3 linked regions of the Drosophila melanogaster genome follow. The protein of the gene in region 3 purifies or fractionates together with the protein of the main gene of each other region. This does not show direct contact. Each region holds a gene or a part of one and is shown on either strand. Other genes may lie near its edges.

Region 1 (5,989 bases), on a different chromosome or scaffold from region 3:
GAGGTGAGTTGGTCGCAGGCTCAAGGAAACCAATAGGCAGGAGAAACGCCGCGAGTTTATGGCGCGTAGGGAGCTCTCCAGGCCGAGATGTATTCCGTATCGAGTGGCAAACGATTTGGTCTGCCCGTCGCTGCTTTTAATTGCATTCTGAAGGATCTGACGGAACTGCTGCACTTCCTCCTCCGATAAAAGAGGGCTAAAGTCAAAAGAAACAACCTGTTGATTGGGTTTTTATTGGTTTCTGCCCGCCTCACCTGTGCTGTTTGTAAGGATTGGCTAGAATATTGCGCAGTTTGGGCAGCAATTTCTTTTTGCCCTTAGCTTCTTTCTGTTTTATGCTGGACAAACTCATGTTTACGATATAAACTAATAAAAAATAAAAAATTTCTGCTGAAAAATCAAACAACAATGTGTTTGGCTTTTGGCCAGTGTGACCGCGTTTCTTAGTTTAAAATAAGCCATAGCTTAAATCGCGTTGCCAATTGCTTTACGTTTTTATTTAAATTAAAACTCTTAATTTTTGCTTCTAAAAATTTTTAATCAAACTCTTAATTTTTATTTGCAATCATTTTCAGTACCAGTAAAGTTCCGGCTCCGTGTCCGAAGAGTACTTCAATTTTCTCGGTCTCTGGCGAACGTAATCTTCGACGAAATTCAATTGCCTTGGTGTTGTGGTTTCTACTTGAGTTTCTACTATTTCCGTTGTTGTTAAATTAAATCCAAATGGTGTTGATAATGTAGAACTTTCCTCTTCGGTGCTGTCAATCACTGCATCCAGATACGACGTGGTAGTTTCCACGCCCGGAGTCGTGGCAATGATTTCCAGCAAGGATGTAGTAGATTCCTGGGTTTCTGTGGTTGAAAACAATTCTTCTGTTGAAGTTTCTGCTGTTTCAGTTGTAGTTTGATCTGTGGATAATGCAAACGTGGATTCGTTCGGTTCTGTGGTAGAATCAGCAGATTCAGTCGTTGATTCCGGCAATTCTGTAGTGCTTGGATTGATTTCTATTTCTGTGGTAGTTTTTATTAGTTCTTTCTCTGAAAATTCAGAACTTAAAGTAGTCGTTGATTCCGGAAATTCCGTAGTACTTGGCATAAACTCTGTTGTTGTTGATTCCTGCAATCCTGTAGAGCTCTGAATGGTTTCTGTAGTAGTTTCTTGCCATCCTGTAGATAAATCTGGATAAATTAACGTTGATTCAGCATATTCAGTACTGTCTGAATTGCTTTCTGTCGTTGAATCTGCAGCTTCTGGACTCGAAGTTGTTGTGGAATATAGGGCTACTGATTCAGTGGCATCTATAGCATCTGTGCTGGTGACTTCCGGCCAAGCTGTTGTCGTGGAATATAAAGTATCCGTGGTTGAAGTTACATAACTAGATTCGGTGGTTGAATAATCCACCGCCGTAGTTGTAGATTCCTCAGTGGCACTTTTCTCCGTTGTAGTAGATACTTCCCCAGTGAAGTAGCCAGTAGTCTCCTGCGGATTGGTGGCCACCGTAGTTGTGTCCCAAAAATCTCCATCGAACGGATTGGTAAAATTTACGATGCGCGGCTTGTAGGGTGTGTAGATTTTGGCTTTGTAAGGCTTGTGGTTCTTGATGTATTCCTTGGCTATGCTAATCCACTCCTCGCGACCGAGAATATCGTTTAAATTTCGGCTTGAGGCCACAAAATGCGCCATTAAAAGAAGCAAACAGAATTTTCTCATTATGATGCTGATACCTTCGGTTGACACTTTCGACTAATTACCTTTGGCGACTGCAGTGCAATATAAACGCAAGGGTCTACCTACGTTTCAACGCGTATTTTAGCTACCTGCTTTCTTGGCAAAAACGTTAATTAGCCCTAATGAACTGGAAAATTCAAATGTTGCCGCCAGGGCTGCAAGCGCTTACTTTATTTGTGCTGGCAATGCCGTAGGTAATGCCGGCCGCTTAACAGCTGAGTGTTTTTCGGGGAAGAAGAAGAACAGCGTGTTTGCAGTCCGCGTTTTTGTGTAAAAATTGTGAATAATTATATTATTTGCAGTTTTCTTACGTTTTAAAGAAGAATTTAGCAATCAGAAGGTCCTGTAACAATTGGTAAGTCGGTAAAAACAACAAAAAACAAGAGTAGCATAAGTTTCGAGTCACCGTGAAAGTTTTAAATTTTCTAAGACGCCACCGGCAAATTTTGAATGAAAGTATTGATATATATATTTATTTTAGGAAAAACCATGGATTCCGATTTGTACGATGAGTTTGGCAACTATATTGGCCCCGATTTAGACAGCGACGAGGAAGATGAGCAAAGTATTTATGGGCAACCCGATGTGCAGGATGACCCAGAGGTATAAACGTGCAAAAAATAAAATAAAACTTATAATTAATTTATGGTGTTTCATTTAAAGGACGCCATGGACGAGGACGAGGTGGAGCCACAGGAGGACGAGGACAAGGAGGTGACCGCCGTGGTTTTGCACGAGGACAAACGCTACTATCCGTCAGCAGTTGAGGTCTACGGCCCGGATGTGGAGACCATTGTCCAGGAGGAGGACGCCCAGCCGCTGGACAAGCCGCTTATAGAGCCAGTGAAGAAGCTCAAGTTCCAGATCAAGGAGCAAGACATGCAGGAGACCACCTACGACATGGAGTTCATGGCCGATCTCATGGACACTCCGCCGCTTATTCGCAACGTGGCTTTGGTTGGCCACCTGCACCACGGCAAGACCACCTTTGTCGACTGCCTCATCCGGCAGACGCATCCGCAATTTGAGACCATGGAGGAGCGCCAGTTGCGCTACACGGACACCCTGTTCACGGAACAGGAACGCGGCTGCAGCATCAAGGCCACGCCGGTCACACTTGTCCTGCAGGATGTCAAACAGAAGAGCTACTTGCTGAACATCTTCGACACCCCGGGGCATGTCAACTTCTCGGACGAGGCCACCGCCGCCATGCGAATGAGCGATGGTGTCGTGCTGTTCATCGATGCCGCCGAGGGCGTCATGCTCAACACGGAGCGACTGCTCAAGCACGCGGTGCAAGAGCGCCAGGCTATCACCGTTTGCATAAACAAGGTGAGGGTTTGGCCTTAAGGTGACACTAAACTTTCTAATGGTTTCCTCTGACGTGCAGATTGATCGCCTCATCCTGGAGCTGAAATTGCCGCCCCAGGACGCCTACTTTAAGTTGAAACACATTGTGGAGGAAGTCAATGGGCTGCTGAGGTGATTACGTGATTCATACTCAACACTAATGATTTTACTAATGTGTAATTTTCTTACAGCACCTATGGCGCTCCAGATGACAATCTCTTAGTTTCGCCTATTTTGGGCAACGTGTGCTTCGCCAGCTCGTTGTACGGATTTTGTTTCACTCTGAAATCCTTTGCCAAGCTGTATGCAGACACCTATGAGGGAGTGGCTTACCTGGACTTTGCCAAGCGGCTCTGGGGTGACATGTACTTCAACAGTAAAACGTAAGTGCTGCCTAAATATCCAAATCATTTGCTAATACCAACTATTTTAATAGGCGCAAGTTCTCGAAGAAGCAGCCGCACAATTCGGCACAGCGCAGCTTTGTGGAGTTCATTTTGGAGCCCATGTACAAGCTGATAGCCCAGGTGGTTGGCGATGTGGACACCACTTTGTCGGACACTCTGGCCGAGCTGAATGTGCGCGTCTCCAAGGAGGAGATGAAGTCCAATATAAGACCACTGCTGCGTCTCGTCTGTAACCGCTTCATGGGCGACTGCAGCGGTTTTGTGGATATGTGCGTGGAGCACATTAAATCCCCTTTGGAAAATGCCAAGCGAAAGGTGGACCATATATACACTGGACCCAAAGAGGGTGACATTTACCGGGATATGATATCATGCAACCAATACGGCACTCTGATGGTGCACAGTTCCAAGATGTATCCCAACGACGACTGTACCTTCTTCCAAGTGCTGGCGAGGATTGTCTCTGGTACTCTACACGCTGGCCAGGAGGTGCGTGTCCTGGGAGAGAACTACACCTTGCAGGATGAGGAGGACTCTCGCATTCTGCAAGTCGGTCGTCTGTGGGTATTTGAGTCTCGTTACAAGGTGGAGTTAAATCGTGTACCCGCCGGAAATTGGGTGCTCATCGAAGGCATCGATCAGTGTATCGTTAAGACCTCCACAATTGTGGATATTAATGTTCCAGAAGACCTCTACATATTCCGACCACTGAAGTTCAACACCCAGAGCATTATCAAGATTGCTGTGGAGCCAGTGAATCCATCCGAGCTTCCCAAGATGTTGGATGGCCTCCGCAAGGTGAATAAATCCTATCCACTTCTCTCCACTCGAGTTGAAGAATCCGGCGAGCATGTTATTCTGGGCACTGGCGAGCTGTACTTGGATTGTGTCATGCACGATCTGCGGAAGATGTACTCCGAGATCGACATCAAAGTGGCGGATCCCGTCGTGGCTTTTTGCGAAACAGTTGTGGAAACGAGTTCCCTGAAATGTTTCGCCGAAACGCCGAATAAGAAAAACAAAATAACCATGATCTCGGAGCCACTGGAGAAGGGACTGGCCGAGGACATTGAGAACGGAACCGTCTGCATAAACTGGAACAAAAAGCGCATCGGCGAGTTCTTCCAAGTCAACTACGATTGGGATCTGCTTGCGGCGCGTTCCATTTGGGCCTTCGGTCCCGACTCCACGGGTCCAAATATCCTGGTCGACGACACCCTGCCCTCGGAAGTGGACAAGAACCTGCTGACCGCGGTTAAGGATTCGATTGTGCAGGGCTTCCAATGGGGAACGCGAGAAGGGCCGCTGTGCGAGGAGCCAATCCGTAATGTCAAGTTTAAGATTCTCGATGGCGTCATCGCCAACGAGGCGTTGCATCGAGGCGGTGGACAGATCATTCCAACAGCCCGTCGTGTGGCATACTCGGCGTTTTTGATGGCCACCCCACGTTTAATGGAACCATATCTATTTGTGGAGGTTCAGGCGCCGGCAGATTGTGTATCCGCTGTCTATACTGTGCTGGCCAGGCGCAGGTAAGTTTTGCTGCTCATGTTTCCGTAAGAGAATGCCTCTAAATTTTATATAATCTATTTTGCAGAGGCCACGTAACGCAGGATGCTCCCGTATCGGGTTCTCCCATATATACGATCAAAGCCTTCATACCCGCCATTGATTCATTTGGATTTGAGACGGATCTCCGCACGCACACCCAGGGCCAGGCCTTCTGCCTTTCGGTGTTCCATCACTGGCAGATAGTGCCTGGCGATCCCCTGGACAAGAGCATCATAATCCGGCCACTGGAGCCGCAGCAAGCATCCCATTTGGCCAGAGAGTTTATGATCAAGACGCGTCGCAGGAAGGGTCTGTCCGAGGACGTGTCCATCAACAAATTCTTCGACGATCCTATGTTGCTGGAGTTGGCACGCCAGGATGTGCTGATCAACTACCCGCTTTAGACTTCCCACAAATCAGGAATCGGGAAAACAAATAAAACATTTAGACATACTTTCCGAATTTCAATTGCGAACTTTAAAGGGAGTAGTGTTTTTTTTTACTATATTTACTAAATATTTATTTGAAGCCTTTTCGGGACAAATAATTTACAAAATAGTATACAGAAAACAGCTACAGTTGTGATAGTTTCTAGGACTTTACTCGCCATTGCCGTTCTGCAGGACCTCCGACTCGTAGCCTTCCTGCTCGGCCTGCTCGTCATCGAACTCCACTTCGTCGTCGGCGGTAGCCTCCTAAAGGAGGAAACCAATGGAAATCGTTTTTAGAGATACTTTGCAAGGATATGGAGGGATCGCTAACCTGGTACTGTTGGTACTCGGATATCAGATCGTTCATGTTGCTCTCGGCCTCGGTGAACTCCATCTCGTCCATGCCCTCGCCGGTGTACCAGTGCAAGAAGGCCTTGCGCCGGAACATGGCAGTGAACTGCTCGGAGATGCGCTTAAAGATCTCCTGGATGGCGGTCGAGTTGCCAATGAAGGTGGCGGAC
Region 2 (4,954 bases), on a different chromosome or scaffold from region 3:
ATGACCAAATAAACACACATTTCATAAATGATATTAATATCCACAAGCAGCTTCAACTTTTAATAATTTGGAACACTTGATGTAGGAAATGCATTTAACTTGGATTTTAAGTTGAAAAACAGGTAGTATTTCAGAGAATTATGAGTTTTAAATAGTTTATGGCCGCAATAACTAACTTCTATAGTATGGTTTTCTTTTGAAATTTTACAAAGAGTTATATACTATATAAACTTCTGGCTGATATCCATTGTATAGACCAGCTTTCTTGTGACCCCGTTTATGGCCTGAAATTTGGCCATGTGGATCGTTAAAGATAGGTCCAACTAAAGGTTCAGATGTGTGTAATTACTCGACTTGGCCAACTCGGAATTTTGCTGGCCGGCTTATGTATGTTACGTTAGCCGCCTCAATTTCTTTGGAAGTTCAAAAAACAAAAAAGAAATCCGGTTTTGGACAATTGAAATTTGAAAATAATAAACCACACATGCGAGCGTAGTCGTACGTAAAGTGTTTTTTGTTTTTGTTTTGTTTTTATTGCAATAAAGCCGGTGTTAATTGTGCTCTGGGGTCAAAAACTGCCGCTGACGTCATCAACTCGTCGTTGCAAGACAGTGAAAGGGTTAAAATTTCAAAACTGGGGGGCTTGCTTGTATAACTTCTTTGGTCACTAGTGCGATTACATAGGATTTTGTGGATTAAGGAACGTATGTCCATATGTCTGAAACTTCTTGCTTAAGGAACGTTTTTCGGTCTGGCATCATAGTATTATCCCCAAACTGGGTAAATTCGGGGACGATAGAATCCGCCTCCGTAGGAGCGATATCCGCCGTAGCCGCCGTAACCGGAATATCCGCCGTACTTGTAGCCACCTCCATAGCCGCCGTAGTAAATTGGCGATGGAGCTGCATAGTAGCCGTAGCCAATGGAGTCCGCGGTGGAGAGATCAGCCTCCTCAGCGGGTTTCTTGTCCTGCCAAGCGAATGGATTTTGTTGGTTGGTTTTGAAATGGAAAAACTAAAGATATGACCTACCTCTATAGGAGCTGCGCTGATGAATCCGATAATAGCCAGGCACAAAAGGATGGAAAATAACTGAAAATGTTCACAACATTTACTCATTATGATAGAAACACTTTTTGTTTGTGTGTAATACCTTTGCCATTGTTGCTTTTATTTGCGAAATTTAACGGGGATGCACTCTAGATTTTATGTTTTTCTCTCAAATTAGCAACTTTTCCCGATCGTGTTCTGGCCAGAAGCGTTGTTGTCCGTAAACTGTGATCCCCAGCGACCTGCCGACAATATTTATAGTGGCCCAAAACGTCCCGGGGATCGATTTTGCACATGATCATTGATTGGACAAACATTCGGGAGTCTGGGGATGTCGTTACCCGATGCGAAATGAGGTGTTTCATTATCACAGATGACTCGATGGGATCTTCCAATTCGGTTATTTGAATTTCTAAGCTACAGTGAGCATTAGTTAATGGCCAAAGAAAAAGTTATTTAGTGTTTTATTTATTCGGTTTGTTGTTAGCTAAAGTCGACTGTGTGTTCTTATTTTTACCAGTCATCAACAATAATATTGACGCACTACACTAATTAAGTTCCTAATTATTAATATTAACACATTTGTTGACGAGCTGATTCATTGATTTAATTACAAGGATTTAGCCTTAATTAAAAATGCTAATGTCTCGATATTTTTTACTACTACAATACAAAGTAATTTAAGTGAATAAGGCTAATTAGTTTTAGTCGTCGCAGTTTTGGTGAATTTGTAATATATTCCCCAATAACACCGTTATTTAAATTTTCAAATTTGCTCGCACTTTGTGTGGTTATCTTGACTGCTTTTTACCACTAGACTGTTTAGCAATTCACCTAATCTCTCGATAGACGATAGATGTCTTATCGATTGAGTGATGTGACCGTTCTACTATTCTATAAATGGCTGCCGCATGAAAAAGTAAACCTCTCGTTTTGCGAACCGGAAAAATTGTGAATTGCGGCCAAAGAAAGGCAGAAAAAGTGCCAAATAGGCAGTACAGTTGCAAATTAACTGCCAGGTAAGATATTCAAACCAAGATTAGCTGGGGGAAAAGCGAAATTTACGCTTTTTCACAGCGTGGTGAAAATTGCAAAAGACCGCGACGTCGGCGGCGGCATTTCGATTTCTCCCCCTGAAACAAAACGTGTCTGTGTGTCGTAAAGTGTATGTTTTTCGTCGTTTATTGATTAGGATAAGTGCCGCGGAACGATGTCCATTCCGCCGTACATGATACCACAAAATGCGTGGGCAGCCCAGCTGATGGCCCAGCAGGCCTACGCGGCTGCCCATGCTCAGCAGGCTCAACTGCACGCCCAGCAGCAGATGGCCAACCAAATTCAGCAGATTCCGCCACCGGGGGCTCCGCTGCCGCCGGCCGGTGGCCATACCAACGGTATACCCATCCCGGTGGGAGGTCAGGGACCCGGATTGGGCCAGATTCCCACGCCCAAGCCGGACATACTCACCGAGGAGAAGCTGCAGGAGAAGGCGCTTAAATGGCAGCATCTGCAGTCCAAGCGATTCGCTGAGAAGCGCAAGTTTGGCTTCGTGGATACCCAGAAGGAGGATATGCCGCCGGAGCACATCAGGAAGATCATTCGCGATCACGGAGATATGACGTCGCGCAAGTATCGTCATGACAAGCGAGTATATCTCGGCGCCCTGAAGTACATGCCACATGCTGTGCTCAAGCTGCTAGAGAACATGCCAATGCCATGGGAGCAGATCCGGGATGTCCAGGTGCTGTACCACATCACTGGAGCCATTACCTTTGTCAATGAGATTCCCTGGGTTATTGAGCCCGTCTACATAGCACAATGGGGGTAAGTTGACTTTAACTTGTCCTCGTGGACACAACTGACGTTAAACACTTCCGCAGTACAATGTGGATCATGATGCGGCGTGAGAAACGCGATCGTCGCCACTTTAAGCGCATGAGATTCCCGCCATTTGACGATGAAGAGCCGCCTCTAGACTATGCCGACAACGTGCTGGACGTGGAGCCCTTGGAGGCCATTCAAATTGAGCTGGACAATGACGAAGACAATGCTGTATACAAATGGTTTTATGACCATCGTCCTCTAGTGGATACACAGTGAGTTTTGATTTGTCATTTATATCTGATCTTGTTTTGATTCATTTATTACCATCTAAGGTTTGTGAACGGCACTACCTACCGAAAGTGGAATCTTTCCCTGCCTCAGCTAGCCACGCTGTATCGATTGGCCAATCAATTGCTCACCGATCTAGTCGACAATAACTTCTTTTATTTGTTTGACCCAAAAAGTTTCTTCACCGCCAAGGCTCTTAATATGGCCATTCCAGGAGGACCTAAGTTTGAACCCCTCATTAAGGACCACAATGTTGGGTAAGACAATGCATACCCTAAATACTTGTTAAAATGTAATTCCTGCTTTTATTTAATTTTAGGGACGAGGATTGGAACGAGTTCAATGACATTAACAAAGTCATTATCCGGCAGCCAATTCGCACGGAATACCGCATTGCCTTTCCTTACTTGTACAACAATATGCCACACTTTGTGCATTTGAGCTGGTAAGAGTCCACATTCTTCAAAAATTACCATTCTAAAATCTTATTTACGTGGTTAGAAACGTTTCCAAGTGATCAGCCTCTCTGGAAATGCTTCATGCCGCGTTAGAAAAACGACGAGCTCCCAGGTTACTGCCAAATTTGCGATAAAACGGGAGCTGCAATGAATATGTTCGTGGCGATTGTTAAGAATTAATCGTGACTGCTGATAGTTGCATACATATAAACTCATTTGTAGCTTAGAGGATCCACATGACCACATGATGTACTTTGTCTATTTCAGGTATCACACTCCCAACGTGGTCTACATCAAGACCGAAGATCCCGATCTGCCTGCATTTTACTTTGATCCGCTCATCAATCCCATATCCCATCGCAATGCAAACTCGAAGATTCAGGAGCCCCTACCTGATGACGACGAGGACTTTACTCTTCCGGACGACGTGCAGCCGTTCCTGCAGGACACTCCCCTGTACACTGACAACACTGCAAACGGAATCGCCTTGCTGTGGGCACCCCGCCCCTTTAACATGCGCTCTGGTCGCTCCCGTCGTGCCATCGATGTGCCGCTGGTCAAGTGCTGGTACAAGGAGCATTGTCCACCTGGCCATCCGGTTAAGGTGCGCGTTAGCTACCAGAAACTGCTCAAATACTATGTGCTCAATGCCCTAAAACACCGCAAACCAAAGCCACAAAAGAAACGGTGAGTTTTATTTAAATCAAACTATAGAAACGTTTTGAATTGTATCCTTACTTTGCAGCTACCTCTTCCGTTCGTTTAAGGCCACAAAATTCTTCCAGACCACAACTCTGGATTGGGTTGAGGCTGGACTGCAAGTTTGTCGTCAGGGATATAACATGTTGAATCTATTGATTCACCGAAAAAATCTTAACTACTTGCATTTAGATTACAATTTCAACTTGAAGCCCGTTAAAACTCTGACCACCAAGGAGCGTAAGAAGTCGCGATTCGGAAATGGTAAGCAGTTAAATTTCTAAAAATTTCCCTTTTATCAATTCCTTTCATTCCTATTAGCTTTCCATTTGTGCCGTGAGATCCTGCGTCTGACCAAGCTAATCATTGACTCTCATGTTCAGTATCGGCTAAACAATGTGGACGCCTTTCAGTTGGCTGACGGACTGCAGTACATATTCGCCCATGTTGGCCAGCTGACTGGCATGTATCGCTATAAATACAAGCTGATGAGGCAGATTCGAATGTGTAAGGATCTGAAACATTTGATATACTATCGCTTCAACACGGGGCCCGTGGGCAAGGGACCCGGATGTGGCTTTTGGGCACCTGGATGGCGAGTCTGGCTGTTCTTTATGCGCGGCATCACTCCGCTAC
Region 3 (4,759 bases):
AACGCAGAATGTTTCGGTATAATTAATAGATAAACTGCAATGTTGTCACGAAAAAAACATTCTATGGAACATTTATGACCTAGTCACAGCACTCTTAGCAAGAAAGAACCAAGACAGTACTAGTCCATTTCTATTGCACTTTTATTGGAAAAAAACAAAGAACTCATTCTGGTTTAATTACCCACGGACATGGTGGTTGAATCTTTATTATCAAACTGATACCTTTTGAAATGGGAATTCATAAATTCATGTCAAATAGATTGTTATTCCAGGGTAAACATGAGTTGTTTATTAAATGTAATCCATTGAAGAGGAATAAATAAAGTGCAGGAATGCATCTTCCTCAGCAGCTTCCCAGGACGCAGGAGGATAGCTCCGGTCGGTAGTAAGTCCCATTGGGGCAGTCCATGTGCCGCAGGGTGCCATTTAGAGCCGAGCAGTAGTAGTACTTCCGGCAGTCGTTTCCATCGGCCATCAAGCCCACGTGCTGACAGGTGTTGGGCAGCACCGAAAAGTCGTCGTCGTTGGGATCCTCGATGATCACCGAAGGATCATCGGTGCTGGGCGGCAGGACATTCGATCCGCTGCGGCAGACGTAGTCCACGAAGGTCTCGCCATCGTTGCACCTGTGCAGCGAGGGGTAGATGACGATGGTGTCGTTCAGGTTCTGGTTAACCGTCGACTTGCACACGTAGAAGATATTGGGATTGGTGGGCCAGGCGGCCACGTGTCCGGCATTGGGGCAGTAGTACTGTCGCTGCAGGCAGACGGAGTCAGTCAGGGTCAAAGTGCACTGGCCAGTCGTCGCATCGAAGGCCTTGTCGTTGCCGCAATCAACGGCAGCAGCCACCAGAGTGGCCCCCACGAAGTAGCACATGTGGTACTTCTGGCAGTCGTACGGATCTGGAAAGATGCCTTGCGAGGTGCACTGAAAGTTGCCCTCGATGCCGAACGGATGACACGGGCCCGTCTCGTTGGTGCAGCTCCCCAGCCGGGCGTTGCAGTAGTATCCATTAGCCACGTCGCACGATTCCACGGGAATGTTCACCCATCCGTTGGAGTGACGCACGCAGGTGGCCAGCAGCTCGCAGGACTCGCAGATGGGCCCGGGACTCTGACGGCCCTCGCAGGAGTTTGTCTCCCGCGGCTGGATGCGCCGGGTGGTAACAGTGGCTCCCATAAGCAGAGCCACCAGGTTGAGCAGTAACTGTTGGGCGGTGGGGACATAAAAATCAAATGCCATTCACTTAAGTTTATCCTATTCTGAAAAACTACCTACCACGCTCACTAGTATTCTTTCCAAGAACATGACGATGTATTTCCCCTTTTGGACTTTGTTTCTGGTTAGTTTAGGTCCAACTTCCACGAGAATCTTCGATTGTCTGATTCAGACTCATATGGTGACAGCAATAAAAGTCCCGAAATAGCAGACTTTAGATAGCGTTTTATATCTTTTGGGTGTCTGTTTGTCTATCTATCAACTTTGAAAAGGCGATGGGAGTTGGGCAAAGTGGCAAACGCAGCGGCGTTTCTAATTACAACAACTACGCGGATCGGAATGCCGCAATGATGGGTGAGTGAACGACATTTACTAAAAATTGGTCCAACTAGCTGGAGTGTCAAGTGGAGTGGGTGTTTAATGTGTAAACAAGTCGGGATTTTGTTTGGCCGACTTATTCAGAGCACTTTAAAGTGCTCTCGAGTAAATATTTAAATACCATTTCTTTCAATAAAACTGACCGCTAGCTTTTGTAAATATGCACTTTTAGTAAAGGAATTTAATGCCTAATCTTCGGTTCATACCTAATCTTCAATCATAAAAAATCGCTGAGAGAAATAACGGGAATGGGTTGGGTCACCGCTAAGCGCTTAGCCACGTCCTCCACCGCTCTGCTGAAGCGGAACCCTGCTGCGCGACCAGTGTGAACGAACTTCTTTGAACGATAGTCAGTTCGGAAGCACGCACTCATGTCGATAGTGTCACCTCGAACGCCCTAACAAATAAAAAAAAGGAGGAGGAGCAAAAGGACAAAGGATGAGCAAGATTCCAGGCAGCAATCTGGAGTTCGTCCGCGAGGAGGACTTCGTGGAGTACTACATCTTTCCCAAGATCCCCGACAACGTACAGGATGAGGGCGCGCTGCGCAAACTGATGCTTCAGATCCGCAACGAGATCTCGGCCATTGTAAGGGAAAAGTCCTTAGAGCGCAGCTATCTGTGGCACAAGGACGAGTTTCAGCTTCAGGTGAGGCTGGGCGGCGCCGAGGAGCGCCTGCTGAACGAGGAGACAAACCCGGAGGAGGAGGCGGAACTGGGTATGCGCACAATGTGCTATAAATAGCTTTGTTTCTGCAATTCGAAATCATCCATTTCCATGTCCCCGCCCAGGCGACCTCCCACCGCACTTCCACGGCGTAACCCACTATGGCGACAACATCAGCGACGAGTGGTTCGTTGTCTATCTGCTCACGGAGATCACACGTGCACGCGGCGACTGCATTGCACGGGTGAGCGATTCGGATGGCGAGTTCCTGCTCATCGAGGCGGCGGACGCCCTGCCCGACTGGGCGTCTCCGGAAACGTGCGAGCAGCGCGTTTATCTGGTCGGTGGTCACCTGCAGCTTCTCCAGAACTCCGCCGCCAGCAGCCAGGACAAGCCACTGACCATGGCCATGGCTGTGCAACGTATACGAATGAATCCCACCCTGTACCGCTGCTCGCAGGAGATACAGTCGTGCATTGACGCGCGGCTTAAGGAGTACCAGATCGCTCAGCCGCACTTCTCCATTCATCGCCAGGTGCTGGAGCTCCCGCATAGCGCTGCACAGCTTCTGAAACAGAAGCCAAGGCTGCTCTCCTCGGCGGTTAGGGCTTTCTGCGAGCGGGACTCGCTGGACATCAAGGCACTTCGCACCATGCGATATTTCCCACCGGAGGCCACACGCGTGCGCACCAACGTGCGTTTCACCCGCTGTCTGTACGCCATGTTGTCGCACCAGCAGTATCTGCCCGAGAAGAGACTCGGCTGGCATCTCACGGATCCTGTATCCGAGCCGGAACGATATAAGGAACAACTATTGGGCTTGAAGCTGGCCAGTGGACTGGAGATCCTGGCCACTCAAGCCAAGCGGGTTGAGGGCCAACAGCTGGAGGACCTTCCTGCCTGGCGATCGTATCTGCGGAGCTTGCTGAGCAAGGGCTACTTCCGGGACAACATCGAGGGCAGTGCCGAGTACCAGGAGCTGCTGAACAAGGCCAAGGTGTACTTTCGTGGCAACCAGGAGCGTTTCCGCACAGCCTCCAGAGCGGGTGCCGAGATCCTCGACCTGTTGCTCCATCCAGCGGAGGCTGCTTCCGAGGAGCTGCGCGATGAGGAGAACAACCTGCAGCCCAGCGACTCGGATGAGTGGTTGAATATCAGCGCTGAGGATCTAGACTCCATGCTGCAGGATCGCTACGGACCCAAGAAGCTCTACAAGCCGAACGGACAAATGAATGCCGAGGAGTTCACCAAGCAGCTGGCGGAGTTCTTAGATCGGCAGTCCAACTACGAGGGCATTGAGCACCGAGGGCTCGAGGAGCCAGAACTGGACTCAGACGATGACGAGCCGCCGCCGCAGGCAAACGGTTCCACAGGACTGACAGCAAAGGTCAAGAAGAATCCCTCCATGCGCAAGGCGTGCCAGCGCAATTCCGTCATCCAGCCGGAGGAACCGGACAGCACCCATGTGCGGAATTTCCTGGATTTCGTAATACCCGAGGACAACTGGGACTCCACCTCGGAGATGAGCGACTACGCGGACGAGGACGACATGGAGAGTAATCTAAATGCACTTTCTGGAGGCGGCAGTGTGTTCCCACTCGATCGACAGATTCAATCGTATATGGAGCAGATGGACCGCGAGTTGGCTCAGACCAGCGTGGGCAAGTCCTTCCACGGCAAGAAGAAGACAGCTCCACAGGCGGACGAGGACGATTTCGATGACATTGAGGACTTTGAGCCCATCAATATAAACGTAAACACGCTGCGCAACATGATGGATAGCTACCAATCGCAGGTTGGCGGCGCAGGTCCTGTATCCAATCTGTTTAGCGCCATGGGCGTGGGCATGTCGGCTGTCGAGGACAAGGAACAAAAGGATATATCTGAGTCGGCCGTTTAAGCGGGATTACAGGAATTAGTATAGTCTTAAGTCCATTAAATAAACGTCAATGTGAATATTTCAATGTAATGCAGAGTATTCTTATTTGATATATTCGATAACTAATCCTTGGATGCAGGCACAAAGTTTCCATAGTCGCGTCTGACCTTCATGGGTGGTTCGTTATTGGGAGTATCATTTCTCTGGTTATGATCATGGGAGCGCTTGTAGCCTCCAGATCCTCCGGACCCTCCGCCTCCTTCGTACCGATTCCGGCGATCGATGTGATCGTATCTGTTGTTGCGCCGGTTGTCTGTGGGAACAAATGCGTTGGTAAGCTATAAATAGAAACTGAGCTTCTTCCCGGGTATTACCCCTGAATCCCCTGTCCTGGTTGTTGTGGTAGCCAGCTCCTCCTCGTCGCTGCCAGCCCCTGTCGCCGCCTCCTCTGCGATGTCCGTTGTAGCGATTGTGGTAGGGATGACCACCGCCTCCTCCGCCCTGGAAGCCGCCTCCTCCTCCGCCACCTCCCATCCAGTTCTCCACAATTGGCGGCTCCGGCACAGGCTTGCTGCAGTGCGCCATGAACTCTGGGTCGTCGTCAGTGAAGCGGTCTG

The links. Proteins that work in one complex are often made in the same cells at the same time.
Region 1: the proteins of ecd (region 3) and CG4849 purify together in Drosophila melanogaster (affinity purification with mass spectrometry; 2 studies listed by BioGRID, with this or other methods). This does not show direct contact.
Region 2: the proteins of ecd (region 3) and Prp8 purify together in Drosophila melanogaster (affinity purification with mass spectrometry; 2 studies listed by BioGRID, with this or other methods). This does not show direct contact.

What each region holds. Positions count from the first base shown.
Region 1 is NT_033777.3:27,961,470-27,967,458, forward strand, and holds CG4849 (uncharacterized protein), read left to right. Parts: upstream 1-1,945; 5' UTR 1,946-2,084; intron 2,085-2,210; 5' UTR 2,211-2,218; coding exon 2,219-2,332; intron 2,333-2,392; coding exon 2,393-3,061; intron 3,062-3,119; coding exon 3,120-3,211; intron 3,212-3,270; coding exon 3,271-3,462; intron 3,463-3,515; coding exon 3,516-5,018; intron 5,019-5,083; coding exon 5,084-5,441; 3' UTR 5,442-5,489; downstream 5,490-5,989. Other genes in the region: CG31131 (uncharacterized protein), read right to left, coding at 572-1,711; betaTub97EF (beta-Tubulin at 97EF), read right to left, coding at 5,637-5,732, 5,800-5,989.
Region 2 is NT_033778.4:12,159,999-12,164,952, reverse strand, and holds the start of Prp8 (pre-mRNA processing factor 8), read left to right. Parts: upstream 1-1,954; 5' UTR 1,955-2,068; intron 2,069-2,241; 5' UTR 2,242-2,259; coding exon 2,260-2,873; intron 2,874-2,929; coding exon 2,930-3,145; intron 3,146-3,205; coding exon 3,206-3,418; intron 3,419-3,480; coding exon 3,481-3,606; intron 3,607-3,649; exon of another isoform or gene 3,650-3,827; intron 3,828-3,886; coding exon 3,887-4,306; intron 4,307-4,364; coding exon 4,365-4,582; intron 4,583-4,639; coding exon 4,640-4,954. Other genes in the region: CG13177 (uncharacterized protein), read right to left, coding at 766-969, 1,032-1,091, 1,153-1,161.
Region 3 is NT_037436.4:2,263,052-2,267,810, reverse strand, and holds ecd (ecdysoneless), read left to right. Parts: upstream 1-1,953; 5' UTR 1,954-2,035; coding exon 2,036-2,315; intron 2,316-2,388; coding exon 2,389-4,163; 3' UTR 4,164-4,230; downstream 4,231-4,759. Other genes in the region: CG13806 (uncharacterized protein), read right to left, coding at 344-1,207, 1,280-1,309; CG13807 (uncharacterized protein), read right to left, coding at 4,265-4,455, 4,517-4,759. UniProt on the Drosophila melanogaster protein: Required in both the follicle cells and the germline for oocyte development.